3 linked regions of the Struthio camelus genome follow. The protein of the gene in region 3 purifies or fractionates together with the protein of the main gene of each other region. This does not show direct contact. Links are inferred from orthologs where the notes say so. Each region holds a gene or a part of one and is shown on either strand. Other genes may lie near its edges.

The links.
Region 1: the proteins of tumor necrosis factor receptor superfamily member 10A-like (region 3) and RIPK1 purify together in Homo sapiens (affinity purification with western blotting, with the first as the bait; 3 studies listed by BioGRID). This does not show direct contact. The link is inferred for Struthio camelus from reciprocal best matches to the Homo sapiens genes TNFRSF10B and RIPK1.
Region 2: the proteins of tumor necrosis factor receptor superfamily member 10A-like (region 3) and CFLAR purify together in Homo sapiens (affinity purification with western blotting, with the first as the bait; 5 studies listed by BioGRID). This does not show direct contact. The link is inferred for Struthio camelus from reciprocal best matches to the Homo sapiens genes TNFRSF10B and CFLAR.

What each region holds. Positions count from the first base shown.
Region 1 is NC_090943.1:104,667,376-104,674,247, forward strand, and holds the start of RIPK1 (receptor-interacting serine/threonine-protein kinase 1), read right to left. Parts: upstream 3,004-6,872; 5' UTR 2,893-3,003; intron 787-2,892; exon of another isoform or gene 1-786. UniProt on the Homo sapiens protein: Serine-threonine kinase which is a key regulator of TNF-mediated apoptosis, necroptosis and inflammatory pathways.
Region 2 is NC_090947.1:10,403,046-10,410,450, forward strand, and holds the start of CFLAR (CASP8 and FADD-like apoptosis regulator), read right to left. Parts: upstream 3,004-7,405; 5' UTR 2,497-3,003; intron 2,333-2,496; exon of another isoform or gene 2,204-2,332; intron 976-2,203; exon of another isoform or gene 501-975; intron 286-500; 5' UTR 214-285; intron 193-213; exon of another isoform or gene 6-192; intron 1-5. UniProt on the Homo sapiens protein: Apoptosis regulator protein which may function as a crucial link between cell survival and cell death pathways in mammalian cells. Acts as an inhibitor of TNFRSF6 mediated apoptosis.
Region 3 is NC_090968.1:5,189,674-5,197,235, forward strand, and holds the start of tumor necrosis factor receptor superfamily member 10A-like, read left to right. Parts: upstream 1-4,552; 5' UTR 4,553-7,562. UniProt on the Homo sapiens protein: Receptor for the cytotoxic ligand TNFSF10/TRAIL. The adapter molecule FADD recruits caspase-8 to the activated receptor.

The DNA of each region.
Region 1 (6,872 bases), on a different chromosome or scaffold from region 3:
TCTCTTTCAAGTATTAGTTCAAAGTCACATATCTATAGTAATTTTTGCATAATAATGGTAATTATGCATCTAGCTAGTAATTACTCAGGACAGAACCACATATTCTGTCCTTATGATCATGCAAATACACTAGATATATATTTCAGAAAGCTAAATCCCTAAAGTTACATTAATGCTATCGATAGCTTGGGGTTACCTGACAGTCATTACTATATAACTTAATGAAAAGCAGCCCTGCCCCAAACTACAGCAACACTCTTCCTATATAAATTGCTAATGCATTTTCCCATCAAGCCATAATTAGTCACCATGAACGCTGAAATGAACTGGATAACATTCAACATAGGAGATTTTCTCACACTGGGGCAAAAAACCCTCCATTGGGCATGTTCTAGTATTAGGATGTTACTAACTTTTCTTTTTTAAAGTAGAAAGTACTCTAAGAACTTTGAACCAAAGATTTGCTTCAAGCCCAAAGGGTTTTTTTAGGATGGACATCACAGGGAAGCAATTTCTGGCACGGTTTTTAAGGAAAGACTGCTTACTTTGGTATATTACTTCACTGATATTACTTGGGAATGTCAGATAATAGAGAAATCAAGGAGGAGAGCTCCAAGGCTCAAGTCCAGTCCAAGTTTACTGCTTTTTATTACGATACATGATTTTTCAAATCTATCCTTAGTAGCTATGATACTTCAGGATAAGCATTATATATCCGTGATATTATATAATGAGTATACTGAGTGAACAGGAATTTTGAAGTTAGTTCAGCCTAACCTCACACAAGCTAAGCATACTTACAGCGTTTAGTTTGTGTTCTATAGGGTCCCCTTCATCTGTACACTTGGTTGATCACTAAGCAAATTATTTTTTAACACGATGTTCTGAACAGCTTTATTAAGTTGGTTTACTTTTAAGAAGTGTCAACATGTACTACAAAAATTTGGAATACTGGCTGCTAGAAGAGGGGAAGATTTGCCCAGTAATACGTTTGGGTGTTCTTTAGAGAAGGATAACAGTGTAACGTGGGTTTGTGGCTTTTCTTTTTAACATCATGGGTTATGTTCCCTCCACTGGCCCCCAAAGGGCCCAGAAACTCCCAAAATTGTGACCTGATCATTAGAGGTCATTTGGGTCTGATCGTCATTCAAAAGTAATTTGCTTCATTTTAACAAATTGTTACTGATCTGATACAGATCTCAGGTAGCCTGCACAATTAAGGGGGACTGCTAAGGGTATTAGCACAGTAATATGAAGAAAGATTATATAGTGATAATGGCTGCACTTGTGGTCTAGTTACACTAGTAATGCAAAGTTTCTTGAGAGTTAATACAGGATGTTCTAATACAAGATATTATCAGAAAAAGTGGACAAGTTTGCAGGCACCAAAACTCTTGGTCACTTCAAGGTATCAATTATGAAGAGAAGAGAATAACAAACAGGAAACAAAACCTGTAGCACTAACACGCGTAAAATGCTGCACACTTGGTGAAGACGTTTCAAAAGATGTCAGTGCATCACAGCTATATCACTGTAACCTTGATGACCCATTCAGTCTAAACCTTTCCCTTCTGCTAGGATTTTTTTTCCACTGCTGCACTTGTTGGCTCAGGGATGAACTTTTCTTTTGGAAACAGCAAAGAAAATATTTGTGTCATCTCAACAGCAAGCCACAGCTGGGATTCTACAGGAATACAAGGACGGACCAAGACAAGGGAGACAAAGATGCCAATTAAAAGGGGCTGAGATTCTTTGGTAGAACCAGAATACGGCAGAGGAAGGCAGAAAGAGGAAAGAACAAGGATTGTGCAGGGGTTTGCACCAGTCATATTTTGTAATAATTAGTTACAATTTAGGATAGAAGCGCTCATAAAAATGCATGTTCTTATATGCGAATTAGAGTAAGCCATTTCAGTAGAGTACCATCTTACACTGGTATGACCCTGTCAGAGGAAGGCACTAGCTGCTACCAAACAGCTTTCTACCAGAAACATGCTCTCAAACTAATTTCCCATCACCCAGATCCCATCACACTGATGCAGAGAAACACTTGAGCAAAATGCCACCTCTGGACCTTACTACCAGGGAGGCTCTGGTTTAACAAGTTATTTCCTAGTGTGAAAACACAGCTTTAGCAAATCCCTTCTTAGCTCAAAAAGCCTTAAAGAGCCTGTCCGGAACGAGGTGGCTATAGCCCAGCGCAGTTCAGGGAACCACCACGAACCAGGGCCCAGTCCCGCAAGGTGCCGAACGCCGCAGCACCAACAGTCAGGGGGAAACGATGCGCCCAGCCCCGAGGCCAGGCCTCTGCCTCAGACGCAGCTTCAGCCTAAGCGCCCCAAACCGCAGCCGAAGCGCACTGAAGCATAGAGCAAACGTCCTGCGAGGCGAGCACGAAATAAACGTGCGGCTTCAGCAGCAGATGCAATTCTGAGAAACCCTAACGGGAGCCTTCTCGAGCCTAGTTCCTTGTCGGCCAGCTTGACATCTCCTCCTCCTTCTCCTCCTCGCAGCTTCCTGTAAGGCGGCCGCGCTCAGGCCTCCCCGCCTCGCACGCACCGCTTCCCCGGGGCTTTCCCCGCCGCCCGCTTCCCCGGGCTCCGCTCTGCCCCGCGGGCCCCGACGGCGAAAACCCTCTGCTCGACGCGGCCGCCGCAGCGAGCGGGCGGGCGGCCGGGCGGGGGCCCCGCGGGGCCGCTCTCCCCACCGCGGGCAGCAGGTGGCCGCGGCCCGCGGCAGCAGCCCCCACTCCCTCCCCCGCCGCCGCCTCTGCAACTGGGAGCCCGCGCGGGACTTCCGGTTTCGGCGGCCGGTTCCCCCGGGCCGAGCCGGGCCGAGCCGGGCCGAGCCGGGCCGGCCGGGGCTCCCTCCCGCCCCGCGGGGCGGCCTTACCTCCCCGCGCCCTGCGCGGCCGCTCGCCGCGCCGCCGCCTTCCGCCAGCGGGCCGAGGGGCGCGGCGGCGGGCAGCGCCTGTGCGCGGCGGCGTGCGCGCCTTCCCGCCCCCTGCGGCCGGCCGGCCCCGCGCTGCCGCCGGCAGGAGGTTTGGGCCGCTTGGCCTGCCGCTGCCGCCGCCTCGGCGCTCGCCCAGCCCAGCCCGGCCGGGCTGCGCCTGCTCGGAAGCGGAGGGCGCGCCGCCCGCCGGGCCGCCGCCGCCGCCGCCCGCGAAGCCGCCGCGCGCCCGCTGGCCCGGGAGCGTGCGGAATGAGCCCGCCCGGGCTGGGAAAGCGCGTGTGCCACCCGCGCCCCGCTCCGCCCTCGCCGCGCAGCCGGCGCCCCGGGGAGAAGCACGGACCCGAAGTACTGTACTGCCCGCGTCTGGGCACACGGCTACCAGATAACCTGTCGGAGTTACCGCGGCTGACAGCCGTTGCGGGAGGGCCTGCAGTTGGTGCATGGCGGGACTGCAGCTCTTTGGTGTGGTTTTAGGGCCTACGAGGCAGTTTCTTGTTCAGGAAGATGGAGGCAGGAGCTTCTGCTCGCTAAGAGAGTACTCATAGTAGGTAACAGTCCTGCGGAAGCAGGTGGAGGAAAGGTGTAACCTAAAAGGACCTCTGTAAACCATCTAGTCCATCCTCTTGCTCTGCAGAGGTGTCTAGACCATCTTTGACAAATTTCATGTAGTTTGTCGTAATTCTACCGGTAAAAGAGATTCCATAACTTCCGACCTGTTCCATTACTTTCATTAGGAAAAGTGTTCTAATATAAAAACAATGGCTCGTTACAGCTTCTTTACATAAAAGTCATTCTTAACTGTTTCTCCAGTGAAACAATTGGAAATGATGAATGACTATCTGCTTTGTAATGACCTTTTCCATTCTGGGGAACTGCTATGCTCTTCACAAAGCCCTGTAGATGCTGTGGTGTTCACAGATCAGTGCCACCAGATACCACTGAAGCAGCAGCAGATTCATGTGGGCCGGCGAGAGCAGCCCACAATTTGCACATAAAGAAAGAAGCCTTTCTAAAGCTGAATGGCAAGCTTGCTCAGGCCCTTGACTTTCAAAGGAGAGTGATGAGAGAAGACAGTCTAGAAATCTGTTTCAGTTTCCTGATGGAAATTGAGGCCCTAGATTCTTGTAGATCTGGAAGAAGCGCAGTGGTGATGGAGAGTTTTAATTTCATGCGAGGCCCCACAGTGGATTTCATGGATAGGGTTCCTCAACCATGGAGGGCATTCAAGGCTGTTTGTACCACCACTTAAAGCCAACAAAACATTAACAAAAAAGAACCATACTCCATTTAGTACTTATGAAGCCTTTTAGGTTCGCAACGTGCACTGGTATGTAATGCTGGCATATTCTGGAGCTCTGGCCTTTTCCAAATGTAGAACTAGTCCTTTGTTTCCCCGTGTCAGTCATCAATGCATTACTGGAATTCCCAGACAACCCATTTATCCATATACTTGCCTTTTTTAAACGAAGGCATAGTCTGATTTATGCCTTCTGCTAGCCAGCACATTTATCTGGAAGGGGCAGGTGACATGTAACTTTCAATTTTCTGAAAGGCATCTCTTTTGAAAGATAAATGGGAAACACTTGGCACGGGCCGGGCGATACAGTTTTGGAGAGGCAGAACAGCCTTGGAGATAACATAAGCAGTTTCCTCCCTGAGTCTCAAGGCGGTTTTCTACACCTTGCAGTACAAACCAAACAAATGGCTTGTTTCCACTGCACATAATGCTGAGTGCAGTCATTTCCACTCTAAAAAAACCTACGGCAGTGGAATTGGCATGTGTCTAGGGCATGCCTTTGTTTTCAACGGATTCTGGATCAACCGGTGTAGAGTCAGACCAGCTGGCCAATGCTCTGATAGCATTCAAGGCAAGGCCTCATGAGGCTTACTGTAATTAAAAGGCTCAAGACAGCTATGCTGAACTGACAGACAAGGTAGTTTGAACACACATTTCATGGCCATCCATGCTGCAAGATATCTTAAGGAAAGTGTTACTAAGCCTATCGTCCATAGAAACTGGGACGTTCGTGAACTCTAATTGTCCCAAGGCAACTGAGGAAAGCAAATGTGGCATCTCTCATAACTATGGGTAGGTCGTGCAGTTTTTTTCTTCTGTTGCCATCCCGAACATTACAGAAACCTTTTAATGCTCTTTTGCTTCTCTTCTCTGGGCTTTGCATTAGGTATGTGGCTGAAGAGAGAAAGTAAGATGGCCACATTTACACAGAATTGTGTGGTTAAAAACATCTCAGTCATTCAGTGATTTACCAACAAGTACTAGGAAAAAAGACAAACATTTGTTTGTTCGTGGTCAGAGGTCAGTGTTGCCAGTTATGACATTCCTTCTTGAAATGAATAAGGAAAATAAATTGGTCCAAAAATGCAATCTGAAGTCACAGAGAAATCTCTTTAATTCTGATAAAGAAGAACGGAAGAATATCCTGAACTGGAGATAAGGTCATTCATTACAGTTCTAATGCTTTTCACAATAATGCATTTCTGTGAGCAGTTTTCAATTTTAGTATCAACTAAGATAAAATAACCCCATTACTTCTTTTTTTTCCCTTTAACTGATACTTTCACTAATTTTGACCAAACTCTCATTTACTTTGTACCAAAAGTCTCAACCATCTTATCAAAATAGAAAAAATATAAGCACGTAGAATTCCAATTGCACTTTGTTTGCATGTAGCTGTTTTTATTGTCAGTTGGATAAAAACTGCTGTTGCCAACTGCATTTGTGAAATTTTCAGATTCTGTTGCATCACCAGAAGGTGATGTAGGTGTTCCTAAATCAAACAGTATTGAAACTCCGCAGCACTAGACGAAGGCTACCTGGAAAACTTACCTGTTTTATTTATCGTAACCAATAAAATCACAAAAAGCTTATGCCCTAATGGGAAAGTGACTTAATACGGAGATATTTTCCTGGTGTTTGAAGACTGCATCACAGTTTTGCTACAGAGCTTTTAAGTTCTCCACTCCTTTCCTTCCACCCATAAAGTCCCACTCCAGTTAATTGCTAGATTTTTGTTCACATTTTTAAATGTTAAAAAGTCTGATTTTTGTTTATGTTTTGTTTACAGTTTTGCCACCTCCCTGTTTCCCATGAACTGCAAGCTCTGTGCGGACCTACACTGTGGTGGGAATGAGCGTGATGGCACTGTGTTTGTCCACAGCTAAAGACACAGCTGAGACCTCAAGAGATGAGTGTGTCCTCACACAGGAAGTTTCCAGTTCCAGAGATGAGTCAATGCTGAAACGTTAATTCTGGGCTCAGCATCCTACCCAGAGCACTGTAGAAGTAGAGGATCACTGGGAAAACCCTAAGCGGATATTTGTTCATAATCTTTCCGTAATCTATGTATTAACCTGAAGCTAAAGCACTAGCTGGTCTGCTTGATCCCACTACTGTCTGACAGCTGTACAGATGATTTTGCAAGGAGAAGCCATGGTTTTAGCTAGTTTTGCCCAACAGTACAACAGAACTTCTATTGCATTTCACTGAAACCACAGAGGGCTGAAGTGGAAGAAACTGCAGCAGTGTGCAACCAGCACTGCTGCACAGGAGCATGCGGAAAAGTGCCGAATCCTCTTGGGGAACCTGAGTGTGGGACAAGCTGCGCAAAGGGACTTGGGAACCACCCTTGTGATAGATGCAATTTTTCATTGTAGCTAAGTTCAGAAGATCTTCTGAAGTCTTGCCTTGACATTGGGGTGTGGCTGTCACAGTGGTGGTTACTTTATAGTTATTTTTTGGCTTTAAAATATCTATTAACATAATAGGATTTCTTTTTTGAAAAATAATATATGAATTATGGATGATATTTATCCCCTGGCTGTTCTTCTCTTCAGCATGACCTTTTGATAATTTGCGTGTTGCAAAGTATATTTGTCTGCAAGCAGGTGGCTAACTTCAA
Region 2 (7,405 bases), on a different chromosome or scaffold from region 3:
CAAACCTGATGCATTCCATCTGCACGCGTTTTAGCCAGACCCACTTCTCCATGAGAGGTGAAGGGCATCTTGTTTCACCCTTCCATCTGATAACGATAGCTTTTGCAAACATCATTGGTGCAGTTATAGCTGAAACATGGACAACTAAAGAAAAAGAGAAAAGCAATGACAGAATGCATAACCCAGCAGTCTAGCCCTCAATTTTTAGATTACCTGGGCTCTGCAGCAAGAAGAGCTTCTGAACGTAAATTCTTTACAAAATGGAGGGAGAGGAAAACAGCACACCTTTTGAGGAGAAAAGAAACAAGTTCACAGTCAGCAGAGAAAGCTGTTCCTGTAGTTTATGTGTTCATGTGTGCATGTAATTTGCCAATATTGCTGCAAGAAAATACTTAAAGACTTTCCTCTTCTGTTCCGTTCAGTGTTGCTTCCACTGCATAAAGATTTCGGCACAGAAGTTACAGAGCAGGAAGATATTTAAAAGAGACGGTGCTCCGTACCTTAAAAAAATCAGCTGTGCCTGAAGCACTACACTTATTTCCATTTAAATAAAATCTAAAATCATTGCAAATAGCACAACTGTAACACAACAACCTACACCGCTGTTATCTGAGGATATTGCAAGGCTGCCTCAGTAATATCAGGGGCAGAGTGAGTGAAGGGGCCAAGCCTACACATGGAACAAAGAACTACTTTTTTGTTCCTGTAATCAAAGAACCAGGAAAGCCCCAGGCACCTCGAGGGAGAAGGACAGGGGAGGAGGCAGTTTTCTGTAAGTCTAGCTATTTCAGTTCACAATCACACCAAATTTTCACAGGGCAAGCGCTCTTGTGGAAAATAGTCATAAGGTCTTTGAAAAAATGACTGATTCTAGAGTGACTCATCAGTCACCTTGTCACCCCAAAAGAGGATTGAGAGAAAACATGTCTCAAGAGGATTACTACAAAAGCACACTCAAATACGAGTTACTGCTTTTAACTTTCCTTAAGGAAGTGGAAGATTTTAAGTCTGAATGGACATTCCTTAATGAATTTCTCACCTACTGCAATGGGAAACCATCCTTGTCGAGGGCATGCTTATCTAAGTCTGCACTGACTTTTGACCCTGGATATTACACTGTAAGTAAGGATTTATTAAGATAAAATACCTGAGAAAATTAGCAAGTATATTTCTCAGACCACAATAGTCATTTCCCTTCCACGCTAGGCAAAGAGCTAAGAAAATATCAGTATGTTAATTGGCTTCTATGAGAGTAATAAAATGAATTATACTCCTATTTTCTGAACTTTCTCACTGCCCAGAATCCAGGCAGAATACATCCAAAATCAAGGACCAGGATTCTTTTTTTTTTTTTTTTTTGTTAAGGTGCGGGAAATAACAATATCCTAGAACTTCACAAAGACTTGTAAGGCTCTGTTAACTCCCCCCGTGTATGTACAAGGCTCAAGCAATTTTACTTTTTGCAAAACAAATGCTGCACAACATACTAACATCAGTTCAATTAGCAAGGCAAAAAAGTGTCCTGTACTAATTATGACAAAGTCATCTATCAGGCCTCAAATTAAGAAGCAGAAGTCTTTCAAGAGAAGCAGGGAAACCTTTCACACTTTAAAAGTCATCTCCAATTACAGTCTGTCAGTTGAGACAGCATTTGTTTCTTGAACGTTTCACAACTGTAGTAAACATCTCTACAGCAGCAAAAACGGGATATATCATCAGTAAGTGTAGTTCTTGTTTGGAAAGCCCTCTTTGTTTCACAGGACGAGCCCAAGTAGGAGCCCCTACGCCAGGCAAAGAGAGCGGGTTACCTTGCTACAAGGAGGTACTACCTGTATGTTGTGGCCCCTCCCCCTGCTTTAAGATGCAGAGGTGGTCAGCGCTCATTTTGAGCATGTATCATCTGACGTCTTTCAAACTGTTGCATATGTCAGGGCGTGTTATACAAGTTTCAAATACCCCTGTAAAGAAAGAGGATCTGCTACGAGGCATTCAGGGAAAGCCCACGGTAACTTCCACGTTCCTCATCATTGTATGAGGCCTAATGATTTGCTCTGGTGTAAACCAGTAGTGACTACACTCATTTCCATTTAAAGGTGAGCTAGTTTAACACTCCGGTCCTGATCAAAAATTGAAATAAACTGGCTTTACCCTAGGGAGTTTATACAGCTTTCCGCCCAATTTTAACTACGTCACTTTAACTCACACTTGAAAAATGAAGCGAAAGGAAACTCCGCGCTGCAGGTCGAAAAGGTTTCACCCGAAGGGCAGCGCCGGGTTTCGTTTCTCCTCACGAGCAAGGACGGGCTCAGGCCCCGCTGGCGCGGAGCGCCCCGGCTCGCCGCACCCGCCCAGGCCCGGCCCGGCCCGCCCTCCGCCGGAGCGGGCCGCAGCGGGAGGAGGGCCCGATCCCGCAGCAGGGCGCGTTGGGGGCGCCTGTCCTGAGGGCGCGGGGGGGGGTGACTGCCTGGGGGAAGGAGGAGGGGACGCATAACGCACCCGGGAGGTCTCGTCTACAGCGGCGGGGCCAGGTCCGGAGCAGGAAGCGGTGCCGCAGGGAGAAGGAGAGGGCGGTACCGGCCTCGCAACGGGCTCCCCCGCACCAGGCGTGGTTTCGAGCACGGGCGGGGGGAGGCACAAGACCCTGGGCGCTCAGCATGGCCCCTTTTTCTCTTTCTAATGCGAGTTTCAGGATGAGACATCCGGAGCGTTTTCTGCTCCTCTTAACGCTGCTGCGACCAAAGCCGCCCCCACGCATAGACAGTCCCTGCCCCAGGCAGAGAGCTCCGCTCGCCGAGGGAAGAGGGGACTGAATATTGCCACCTTCCCCTCACTGCACAGCTGCGGAGCCACACTCGCCAGCCCTCGCCAGCCCTTACGACTTTATCGCGACTCCAGCCATTAGGTACCCGGGGTCGAGGGAATGGTTATCAGCCGCCTACTTTTCGGTCGCGCAGCCAGCAGCTGCTCTTTAACCCGCCTCAGGAGAGGAACCGCCCAGCTCCGCTCCCACTGTGCGGACCAACCCCCACAAAATGGCGGCCGGGGCGGCGGCGGGAGCGAGGCGTCCACCCGCGCGCGATCCACAGCGCCACCTGAGGGGGCCGTTTGCGCACAAAATGGCGGCGCGCCCGCCTCAGGGCTGTGCGGAGCGGGGCCCTGGGGGGGAGAAAGGGCGGGAAAAGGGGGCCGAGAGGGCAGCGTGGGGCCGCTGGGCCCTTCTGAGAGGGCAGAGAAGGAGGGGGTGAGGACGGTGCTGTCCTATCAGTGAGATGGGCGCGTTTTTGTGTGTCTTGGGGGCTTCAGCTTGGAGGCCCAGAAAGGGAAGGCTGGGAATCGCATTGATAGGTAGCAGTACACACAGACATGCGTACATAATCTACGTGCATGTAGGCTGCAGGCTTCCTAAGCCGGTTTTCAGACGACGAAGGCCCACCTCAGGAGCCGCTGAGTGGCAGATCCAGCAGTTGTGCAGTGCAGCAGGCTCTTCCGTTGAGCGAATGCAGACTGGTGAGCGCAGGGCACGTATGGCGGGGCGTTTTGGTGGGGGGTTACGCAGCAACAAATCTTTCCTGCGTTCCTCTCTTGTTGTACCCCTCTGAACTCATTCACGGCGAGGATAATGATTGTACAGGCACGTGAGAGTGTTGAGCTTCCGTTTGTTGTGTAATCTTCAATACTTCTGCCCTGTGCTGCTGTTCCCATGGTATACCTGGCAAGTCCCATCAAGTGACTTAGTGTGAGGCATTAGTGTCACAGCTGGAGCTGCTCTCTCTAAATCTAAAATTCTGGCCTGTTTTTGTCAACTGAACTAGACAGAAGCCTCATCCACCATGTATGGTGAATTTGGATGCAATAGATAGAAAATCTTCAAGAAAAAAGGACTTTGAAGTATTTACAACCCAGCAAACCGTTGTATGTGCTGCTAAAATGGAGCAGTTGAAGCATGGTTTTCTCTGGAATAATGCTCAGTTGTTTAAAAAAAAAAAAATAACGTACTCCTTGGAACAGCAGAGGAAAAACTCAGGGAGGCAGAAAGTAATTTTGCCTGAACTAGAATTTGGTCAGATTCCAATTGACTGTTTTGTGCTCTGAAAAAGTACCTCGATTCTTACTGACCTGGTATGGTTAGGCTCTTGCCTCAGTATCTGTCATTACAGGGTAGTAAGGGTATTGCAGTGTCCCTGCTGCCAAGCCTGTAGCCATAGCTGATTGAGAATGAAAAGGGCTGCCCACTGAATCTCTTCTCACAATCTCTCCTTGGACCTATTCCGTACAAATGCATAAGGCTAACAGAAGAGGTTATATATATATAATGAGATAGTATGGCTGCAGCCTTATGAAAGAAAAGAAGAACCTGCTTTTTGCAAAAATGACCATACAAATAGTCACATTCACCTACATTCACATTCATAATTAACATTCACCACATCCATTGCCAAAGAGATTGACTTACTATTTTGTTTACTTTTTCCACTTTTTCCTTCACTTTCTTAATTCTTATATGCTTATGAAGCTGCTTTTGCATATTTATAGGCAATATTTATGAGCTGTGTACAAGTTTTTTGAAGGGGGGGTGTCCAAGTTTCTAAGTTGAAATACTACATTGTCTTCTCCGATTGGTTCTCATGTCCTAGAACTGCAAATCAGTATGAGTGCAGAGCAGAGAGCGTTCTAGTAAGATTAGATAGGATTGAGAAGAGATGGTCCTATTTTGCTGTGATTTAGAGAGCTTTGGATTTATATCTCTGCCTCGAATTGGATTTCTCTCCATCTACTTTCATAACAGGTTGGGGCTATTTTGTAGATTGTCCTAGTTAAGTAAAACAAAAAAAAAATTCCATGTATCTAAAAGTCAGATTTTGTATGATCAAGGTGAGTGCGTTACATCTGTTTATATAAGTGGTGTTGCTAATATCATTCATTACATGTCATAGTTCCTTATTTTAAAAAAAGGAGCTAATTCAGTAGGAGAAGTGTTGTTTGGTTTTTTTGTTGGCCTACAACTGAGGACAGAAAAGGTATAGGAAACAAACATAGAAGACTAGTCTGGAGGATGATACAAATTTAGAATTTTATACTGAATGATGTAAAATTTTACAGTTGCTGTCAGCAAAAATAATAAATCACGAATATCTCTTGAGATGATGCAGATAGCTTTGTGAAGCACAGGTGAAAATCCTATGACCATCATCAGTGTTTTTCAAAACTTACTTACAGAATGAGCTTCCTGATTGTGCCATTACCATCATATGTTCTTCACCTGGAGGTGGCCACTGCTGTTTGTGACCCTGTTCTTTGCTCTGTAAAATAATCTTATGTGTGCTGGTAGGAAGCCTGCTTTAATTTTAGGACATTCATTGCTATGGTTACAGTGAAGACAGGTTTGGTACTTATTATCCTATTACATAGGAAATACTCCATTACCAGGAAGGATTAGTATTATTTTAGTAAATGTGAAATAAAAATCTTTTATATAAGAGTATTGTGTGTATAAGGAGTATTACATGCTACATCTGTTTTAGGGAATGAATGAAGACACGTTTTGATATTCCCTAATACTGCCAAGGCAAGTTCACCATAAATTTAGGCAGCCATTGATGGCAGTGGCTGAAATACTTTCTGGTAATTAAATCACTGAATGACACCTTCTTAATCTATAAATTAATGAGTTTCACCTAAACCAGTCCAGTTTTAACTAACAGCGAATATGCCCAATATACTACTACGGTGTGGAATGTTCATAAGGCTGATTCCTATGATCTTCCCTATACACAGCAGCATTTAAACATGAATATATGGAAGAACTGTATAAAATTGAGGTGACTTGCTTGTGTGCAAATTTTCTGGAAACTCTGGCTGAAATGAGTGAAGATGTGTAAGATTTCAACAGACTGATTCTTAACTTTCTTCATGTACTGTAATTGCCAACAAACCAGAATCTGGATAAACAAAGCTAACTGTTTTTTAAAAAATTGAGGAATGCATTAGGTTATATATCAATCAAGCTACGTTTCTGTATGCATATCTTACATCTTTTGGTCCAAGCAAAGTGAATAACATACCAATATTATGTATGCTGAAAATAGGAGTACAGTAAGTTTTTCTCATATGTGTTTTTCTGCTAAGTTTGAAAAGAATGTGTGAATCTCTCTTCAGGTAGCGTAAATGACAAAATTCTGTTTAAAAAAAATAGAACTATATTTAGTCATACCAATGAAGCTGCAGGCTTGTATCATTTTAAAAGACTAATTCTATAGGAGTCTGTGGCAACTTTACTGCAGACTCTGAAGCATTTTAAAAAAAAACAAAATAAAACAGCATGCATATAGAAGAACATGAAAACAAGGTTTCCAACTGGAAACTAAATGAAACAGCAACTATTGATCAAGGTTATGTTAAGGTTTATGCTTCTGGAAAAGTTGCAATAGGGTTGGGGGGCAGGTAACCAGTCAAATCAGCGTGCACACATACACAAGTCAGGGACACCATATTATAACTATAAAGGGCAGAAGTGAGCAGCACATACCTGAAGTGCAAGTTTCATCGATACCACTTGTAATGCCAGCTCTGCTAATCATGTGCTTCTGAACCACCACCGAAAGTTGAGCTTTCTTAATCCTTTTAATCTTAGACCTGGTTAGAACAAGCAGTGAATACTAGCCTTTGCAAATGCATATTCAGGGCAGGACTGCCTAAGGGATAATGTAGAAATGTTTTGTTGCAACAAACCTTACACAGTATGTTCGTGATTTGTTTTTCATGGAATGATGCAATAGCATAGGGATACTTGAGAAAGAATTAAGCAAGAAAACCAATTTAGTAAAACAGCTGTTTGTCCAATGAACAATGCCTTAGGCAACGTCATGCAGAGATGTAGAATTCTGTAGGAGTGCAGCTGTACTGTTCAGTAGTTTTATTGCCTCCAAAAATAAAACTCTGCTATAGCCTCACTGAAAGACTGTGCACTCTCTCTCTCTATATATAGAGAGAGAGGGAGGCATTTTACCCTCCTTTTTTTTTTTTATTTTTATTTTTTAAGAGCTGCAGTTGTTCTTGTAAAGCTGCAATTACAACTTCAAGGTACTCTACAGTTCTTCTACACTGGAAGTATACAACGTAATTGTCTAGTGGTATTTGAAGTTTACTTTTCTCTTGTCTGATTTTTGCTCTTCAGTTCACACAGATATGCTATGTCTGGATTGAAAACTGAGATATGGTAGCCTCCTTAGCTTATGTAACTAATGGCATAAAGATTTACAATATGATGTTTGGCTAGTTCTACTTTATAGCTCTGGAGAGCATGTATGCTGCCAACAGGCCCCCTTTTACTACTTTTTTCACTGTTGGCATTCTTAAGGCACTCTAGAAGCAGGTAATTTGAGGAAATATGTAAAACTTAACCCAA
Region 3 (7,562 bases):
CTGAAACTTGATGTCTGCTGTTTAAAGTTTCCCCTTGCTTTTAGTCAAGCCAGCCTCCTGGGTTCGCATTCATAAGGGGAAACGTTTAACCCTTTCACTTGCCCAGAGACGACAGAGGTGGGGAAGCTGCGTCGGGAAAGGTGAACGGAGAAAGGATGACAAAATTCCCCCACCTGCTCCATACATACCCATGAGCATCTCACAAACCACAAAGATAAAGCAGGCACAGGGAGCGAAAAGAGAAGCATTAACATCCCCCTGTTGCACAGGGGGGAACGGAGGCACAGAGAGACTCCGTGACTTGTCCGGAGTTACTCAGGAAAGAGACCGTGATGCAGTGGGGAATTAAGCTCCATTCTCATGAAGTCCACACAGTGGACTGTCTGCAAGAGCATCCTCCCTCTTTTAAAGAGGAACCTGGCATTTATGAGAAAAATCATTTGTTTATCCTGAGAGGGAAGGTCAACATTATCAGACAGCTTCAAATCCCTTTCAGGAAACAAAAAACAAACAAGAGGCAGCAAAAATCTGGAGGAAAAGCTTAATGCTGACATTCAAAAAGTAATGTATAGACACGTACCCCATCACCCCCACAGAGATGTGCCACAGATCCCAGTTAAAAGAAAGATGCTCTGGAAGGAGAGATTAGAGTCACCTTCACCTCCACACAGTCTCTTTTAAGGATGGACATAAACAAGAAGCCCATGAGCAAAGAGATGCATCATTAGGATGAAAATACGTGGAGGGTGTGAACCCTTGAGCACCACAGCGTTAGCTAGCTCGCGTGAGGTTAACCGCTAACTGTGGCAGATAGGAGTAGACTTCCCCTCAGGGCTGTTTATTGCATAATTGTCCAGCGTGGGCATTTCCCACTTTGGTGTCAAGTGTCCCTGCTCCTGGCCACGGGGCGGGGGGACAGGAGCCGGGAGGAGAGCCAAGGCTCTGCTCAAACTCTTGGACTCATTTTATGTTCCACTTGCAATAGAGCTGCGGAAGCAGGGCGAAACTCGGCATCACAAAACTGCGGTGGGTCCCCCCCGGCTTCTCCATGCACTTCGTTTACGCCCGCCGCTGCTCTTGTGGTGCAATCTCCCCGGCTTCTGAACGGTTCCTGCTTCAGACGGAGCTGCGGAGACGGGGAGGCCTGCGGCGATAAGGCCTGGGGGAGTGACAGGGGGCCTGTCTGTGAGTGATAAAAACACCCCTCTCCCGCCTGAGACCGGTGCCTCGTCTGCAAATGGGCCTTAAATGGAAATGCTCTGCGTGCCAGCTCTGTGCATGGCTGCAGCCAAGCAGTGGAAATTCTTGCTTGGCGGGTGAATGACGTTACCGGCCCTGGGAGTCCCACCCGGCGCTGCAGCATCTGGCTGGGATGGGGCTGGGGAGTGGGAGAAGGCTCACATCACTCAACTCGCTCATTAGCTTAAATACCCACGGCACAGCAGAAAGCCGTCTTTGCTCAGAGCTGTGGAAAAGCTGTGGTTTGTCAGCACAGATAACTCCATTAGTCCAATTGTATAAACAGAGAGAGTGAGACAGATGGACAAAGAACTGCAGCTTCGCAACAAGTGTTTGGCAGAACGGGATTAGGCCTTGGGGTCTCGGTGCTGAAGGTTGTTCTCACCCTGCTGAGGTGCACCTGAGGGCACAGTGTACATTATTGGGCAAACTGGGAAGCAGCAGTTCTAAAATATGTTCTCACTTCTGCATCCCCTTGCCCCATGTGCAGCCTCCTGCCCATATGGATTTATGCGATCCCATAAATGCCCCATAAATGGCAAGTCCCATAAATGGCGTCAGGTTGGTTTTTTTGGAGAGTAGACAGACAGGGTCCTTCACAGTCCCGCTGGATACAGCCAGGGTGCCGTATCGCACAAAGGCCAGGCATGGCCATCTGAAGTTGCAAATGCAGTAAGGCTGTTAAATAGCATTTATTCTGACCTAACTGAAAAATGAGTTGTTCTCTAAGGCCCTGAATCACTTGAGCTGAAGTCAGTGGTATCTAGAACACAGAACACATGGTTTTGGTTAAACAAAAGGCCCTGCATACTTTTGGGGCCTGTCATATAACTACCCACCCAGGAAACAACCAGGAATTCCTGATCTACTTTAAATCATACTTCAGCTTAATTATTTTCTGTGTAGACAGGCCCTAACTTCTGCAAGGAGAAAACTAGGTTTCCATGGCATGGCACAGCTGGTTGCAGAAACGCTCACTCTCTCAAGAGTTCAGTGCCCAAAGGGGAGATGCTTCCCAAATATCCGTGGCCCGAGCGTGGACACTGCTGGTCTGCTTGGATCCAAGGAGCCTTCCTTGCAGGCTGCCTCCCTGCAAAGCTCTGGAGATGCTGAAGATGCCACTGAACTGGTCAGCAGCCCTGTTTTCATCCAAATTTTCAGTGCACTGAGCCACTTCCATGAAGAGCAGCTTTTCCTGCGGAGCGGCCAACCTCCTCTGAGCCTTGTCACCCAGTTGCAGGCTCTCACCCACAGTTGCTCTTCCTGGGCCTGGACTTGAAAAAGGATCAGTCACTCAAGAGTTACTGCTGGGGCAACTACATGCCCAGCCTCCGGTGAGTCACATCCCCACATGCATCCCGGCTAGGGCTGTAACAGCATTTCTCAGGGAGGGAGCATTTTCCAAAGCCCTGGGCTATTGAATGCAGCTAACACAAACCGAGCCCTAAGTTCAAGTCTGGTACGGAGTCTAGGAAAAGATTAACAGGTCACAGCTCCTCCATCTCTCCATCTCGGCTTTGTTTCGGTGGAGTAGTTTGTCCCACTCGCTATCCAAATGAGCTCACTGCAGAAGGGCTAGCGGTGTAATGGCACAAAGTCCAAAGGTTTTCCTTTCTTATTTTTTTTTTCTTTGGGCTCAAGCCTGCAGAAAACCGCGTGGAATTTCCCCACTTTCCAGCTCAGAGGCAAAAGTTAGGGAGGAGGGGTTTTGAAGGAGGGGTGAGGGTTTTTGCTGAGCCGCACCACAGCCCACAGGGCGGCTTTGCACCTCGTGCCCGGCCACCGGCCCCTCCAGGAGCCTTTTGCGTCTTCCTGTAAACTCCGTGCTCCTCGCTGGGATTTCTTGGAAGCAGGAGGGGATATTTATGTAACTCCATTTTCCCCGTAAAACATATATTCTTGCTCACTTGAGGTTTAGACGCTGCTATGATGGGGGGGGGGAACAAGCTGAGAAAGCAAAAGGTGTCAATGAAAAGCCCCTCGCAGAAGCATTCGTGAGGGCGCTTGTCTGATCTGGAGGCTTGAAAACCAGCCGTAACTATTTTCCCCGACACACCCCCCCCCCCCACCCATCCACCCACCAACACGAAAGCGCTAAAAAATGAAAGTTCCGCGGCAAGCCGGGCGGGTTCAGTTTTCGGCCCGGCCAGTGAAGCTGTTAACAAAAGCCGTGCTGAAACCTCCGTGCGGCTTCCGAGCGGCGGCGGCGGCGGCGGCGGGGCCAAGCGTGCGCGGGATGGAGGGGGGGGCAGCACGGGCCAGCCAGCCGGCCGGCCCCCTTCCTCCTCCTCCTCCTCCTCCCGGCCCGGCCCACATCGCGTATTTAAGCCGGCCGCCGGCCGCGTTGCGGGAGAGTGAGCGCACCGGGGGCGACCCGGAGCCGACCCGGAGCTCAGCCGAGCCGCCCCGACCCGGAGCCGGCCCCGCTCCCGCGCACGATGCGCGGCGCGCCCCGACGGCGCTGCCGCCTCCTCCGCCTCCTCCTCTTCCTCCTCCTGCTGCTGCCGCCGCCGGTGTGTGGGGTCCGGGGGGGGGGGGGGGCGCCGGGCGCCGCCGCGGCATGTCCGGGCTTGCTGCGCCGTCGGGGCCCGGCAAGGGGTTGGCGGCTCCCCCTTCACGGGAGTTACTGGGGGGGGGCGCAGAGGGTGGCTGGGGGGGGGCAGCGGGCGGAGGGGGGTCGTAGGGGCTGGAGGGGGAGCAGTGGGCGGAGGGGGGGTCGTAGGGGCTAAGGGAGGGGGCTCCCGGGGGCAGCGGGGGGGGCTCACCTGTACGGGGGGGCAGGGGCTGGGGGGGGCTCACCTGTATGGGGGGGGCTCCCAGGGGCCGTGTGGGGGACTCTTGGGGGGTTATGGGGGGGCTCACCTGTACGGGGGGAGGCTCCCGGGGGGTTATGGGGGGGCTCACCTGTACGGGGGGAGGCTCCCGGGGGGTTATGGGGGGGCTCACCTGTACGGGGGGAGGCTCCCAGGGGCTGTGGGGGGGGCTCACCTGTTTGAGGGGGAGGCTCCTAGGGGGTTATGGGGGGCTCACCTGTATGGGGGGAGGAGGCTCCTAGGGGGTTATGGGGGGCTCCTAGGGGCTGTGGGGGGGGCTCACCTGTATGGGGGGGAGGCTCCAAGAGGCTATGGGGAGGCTCCTGGGGGTTATGGGGAGCAGGGGCCATGGGGGGCTCACCTCTATGAGGAGGGGGCTCCCCTGGTGTGTGGGCTATGGGAAAGGCATGGGGGTTTCCCTGGCCCAGGGGCTATGGGGGCTCCCCTGGAGAGCTTGGGGGGGGGCTGCAGGGGGCTCCGCAGGAGGCTCGTAGGGGAGCAGGGACACGTGGGGCAGGGCGGAGGCGGGAGCGCGTTCCCAGCCCGCCGGGGCGCGGGGAATGGGCACGTGCGCCCGCGCGTGGGGCGGCCGGAGGACTGGAGGGGATTTCCACTTCCTCGCTTCCAACGGCATTGTTTGCCGTTCCGGGTCGGGATCTTGCGGCGACACCGAGTCCGTGCGGACGTTCGCGCCACGTGAACGCAGCGGGACGTTCGGAAGTGTCCGGGCTCTGCTGCGGGCCCTTCTGTGCCGTCTCGTGTGGGGATATGTGATTTTAGACTTCCCCAACGGCAGTCTGACTCCTTAGCGTTGGTGACTTTTAGGATAGAAACTCCCACCCGCCCATACTGTATTTCTTGGGTTGGAGGTGGCTATAGCTCGGAGAGGTGCCCAAAGTCTCGTGTCGCCTGCAGTCAGTGGGAACCCTGTCCCGAGGATCCCGGGACTGGCCCCGATTCCTGCCGTGGCGCAGGAGCGGCTCTGGGACGCGTGGTTGCTGTTTGCCTGCTGGAATTGCTGCCGCTGAAATCGGCGCTGCCTGTAACAGGTTTTTAAGTGCCTCATCTTCTCCGGTCCCTTCCCGTGCTGTTTCTGTGAGTTGCACAGGTTAGGTGATCCCTTCTTGAGTCTCCCTGCTCTTTGCTTAGACTTGCCTGTATAGGCAATAGCCTTACCGACCCCATCACCTACAGGCCTGCTCTTACTGGACTTGTTTTCTTTTATAAAAAATAAAAATAAAAAGGGAGGGAGAACTGATCAGGACTGATGTTGGCCCACGTGATAATCATACGATATTATGGCTGCAAGTTGCTTCCTCTGCACACCATGGCTTGTTGCATCATGCCTGGACACGGGCCACAGGCTCGTGAAGAAGAAATCCTCCGAATTTCTGTATTTGCGGGAGCTCGAATTCCATCCACATAAGGTCTGCAGGGAAACCCCAAGTTCAGCAAACTTATTCCCTTGGAGCAGAGGCGTGTCAGTTGTCTGTGAAGTCTCTCTCTCACTCCTTGTTCCTTAACACTGTTGGTGCTCTGGGATTAAGAGCCTCACTCCCTACATCAAGGGTTGACATGGTTATTAATACTGTCTAGATGCTTTGTGGTGGTCAGGAGTTCAGTTTGTGGGCTATCTGCTGCCATAATGGTTTGATTCCTTCCTTGGGATCACTTCAGGAGGAAACCAGAAATCGGTGGTAGAGGAGAGAAGGTTCAAAGATCGGCACTTCCCAAAAAGTCTTCTCCAGGTCTGATCATCCAGACCGAATAGAAAGAGGGGTTTAAATTCATGGTCGATGAGGATATTGGAAATTACTATGACTGATCATTCTTCAGCTTTGGGGCAGCATTACTTTCTTTGGATGTTTGCTACGGGTGAAAAGTACTCTTGAATACCATTGCTTGCGTTGAACTTGACCTCCCTATGCAACTTGCTTTAAAACTGGCTTTTGCAGTGATAAAATAGCTGCCTGTGCTGGAATTGATCAGGCAAGTCTTCTGATGCTGGGACAAGCTGAAGTGTGGCTGTATTTCTTTCTCCCTAGGCTTTTTTTTAAAACCTCTTCTGTGATCTAGGCAGGGTCCTTCCCTCTGTTTTTAAGTTAAAGATTTTTTTGGATTGTTTTGCTGTTTTTTGGTGAGTTCCTCCGTCTCCTGGCAAGTTAGCTGTGCAATTAAAGGCTGAAGGTGAGGCCACCCGGCCCAAGGAAGATGGAGGTTTGCCCCTGGATTGCCACAGTGACTTGCCAGCAGGGAGGGCCAGGTCTAGAGGTTATCATAATCCTAGGGTGAAGTTAGTGCTGGTTGCAAGTGTCCTGTTAGCACCTTGCAGTGGGTGTTGGACTGGGTTTCTCCAGGGCCAAGGTATGTTGTGGTGGTGTCTGGCCTCTGGTTATCAGTATTTTGGAGCAGGCAAGGGTAAGAGCTGGCGGAAAGCATCATAGGACACACGCTTGGAGCAGAAGGGTCCAGGCTCTGCTATGGGCATGCAGCGACTCTCTGAACCCCTTTTTGCCCGTTTCCTGGACTGTAAAACTGAGGCCACCTTTTGCCTGTGGCTCCTAGGCTGGCTTATCTCAGTGCTTTGCAAAACTGATAGGTTAGATTCCTACCTGCAAAGGGCTCTGTCAGGACGATGTACTTGAACTGCATTTGCTCTTGAAGGTGGTGTGGGCTGATAACCTTATCATGCACTTGTGCAAGCTCAGGGAGAGCACTGAAATCCTGTGCCTGAGGGGCCCTCTGAAACAACAGATGTTGTTGCTGTGGTTGCCTTCACGGCTTGGCAGGAAAACTTTCTTGCCCATGAGGGCAGTCAGGCAGTGGGACAGGTTGCCCAGGGAGGTTGTGCAGTCTCTGTTCTCGGGGGCTTTCAAGGCCAGAATGGGTAAAGCCCTGAGAACTGCAGAGGGTAAAACAACTTGTGACTGGAAGGTAAAAGCTGAGTTGTCTCCTAAGTTGGATGCAAAAGGAGTTTATAATAACTTTATAATAAACTCTGGGAGGCAGCCAGCAGGAGATCTGCACCTGTACTTTGCAAAACCCCAAATGCTATAGAGCTGGTAGTTGTGTTCGTGCTCTTTCTTACGGTTGGGATATTTGTCTGCATGAGGCCTGAGTTTCTTTGCTTTTTTTCTGCGCTGTCTGGATTAGCAGCGTGCCAGCTCTAGGATCCCAGTCCTGCGCTGAGGTCCAGCTTCCTCTTCTTGCTTCCTGCCTTTAACCGTGTAGCTACCCAGAGCTCTTTAAGCAGCTGTGACACCCCAGGGGAGGTGGGAAGTTCAAGTTCCCGATGAACTGTGTTATCTAAAGCTCGGGTAACACTAATGCAGTCTGAAGGAGGTGGAGGAACCGTTGCAGGGCTCTGAGTTGGATTACTCCAAGCCAGGGTCTGGAGATGGCCATATGCCCAGGCTGGCCATGGCTGGGGGGTTTGTGCCTCTCTGGCTCCCCATGTTGCGGCATGCGGGGCGAGAGGGACCATCTCTGGCCAGTGCTCCTGGAGGTAAT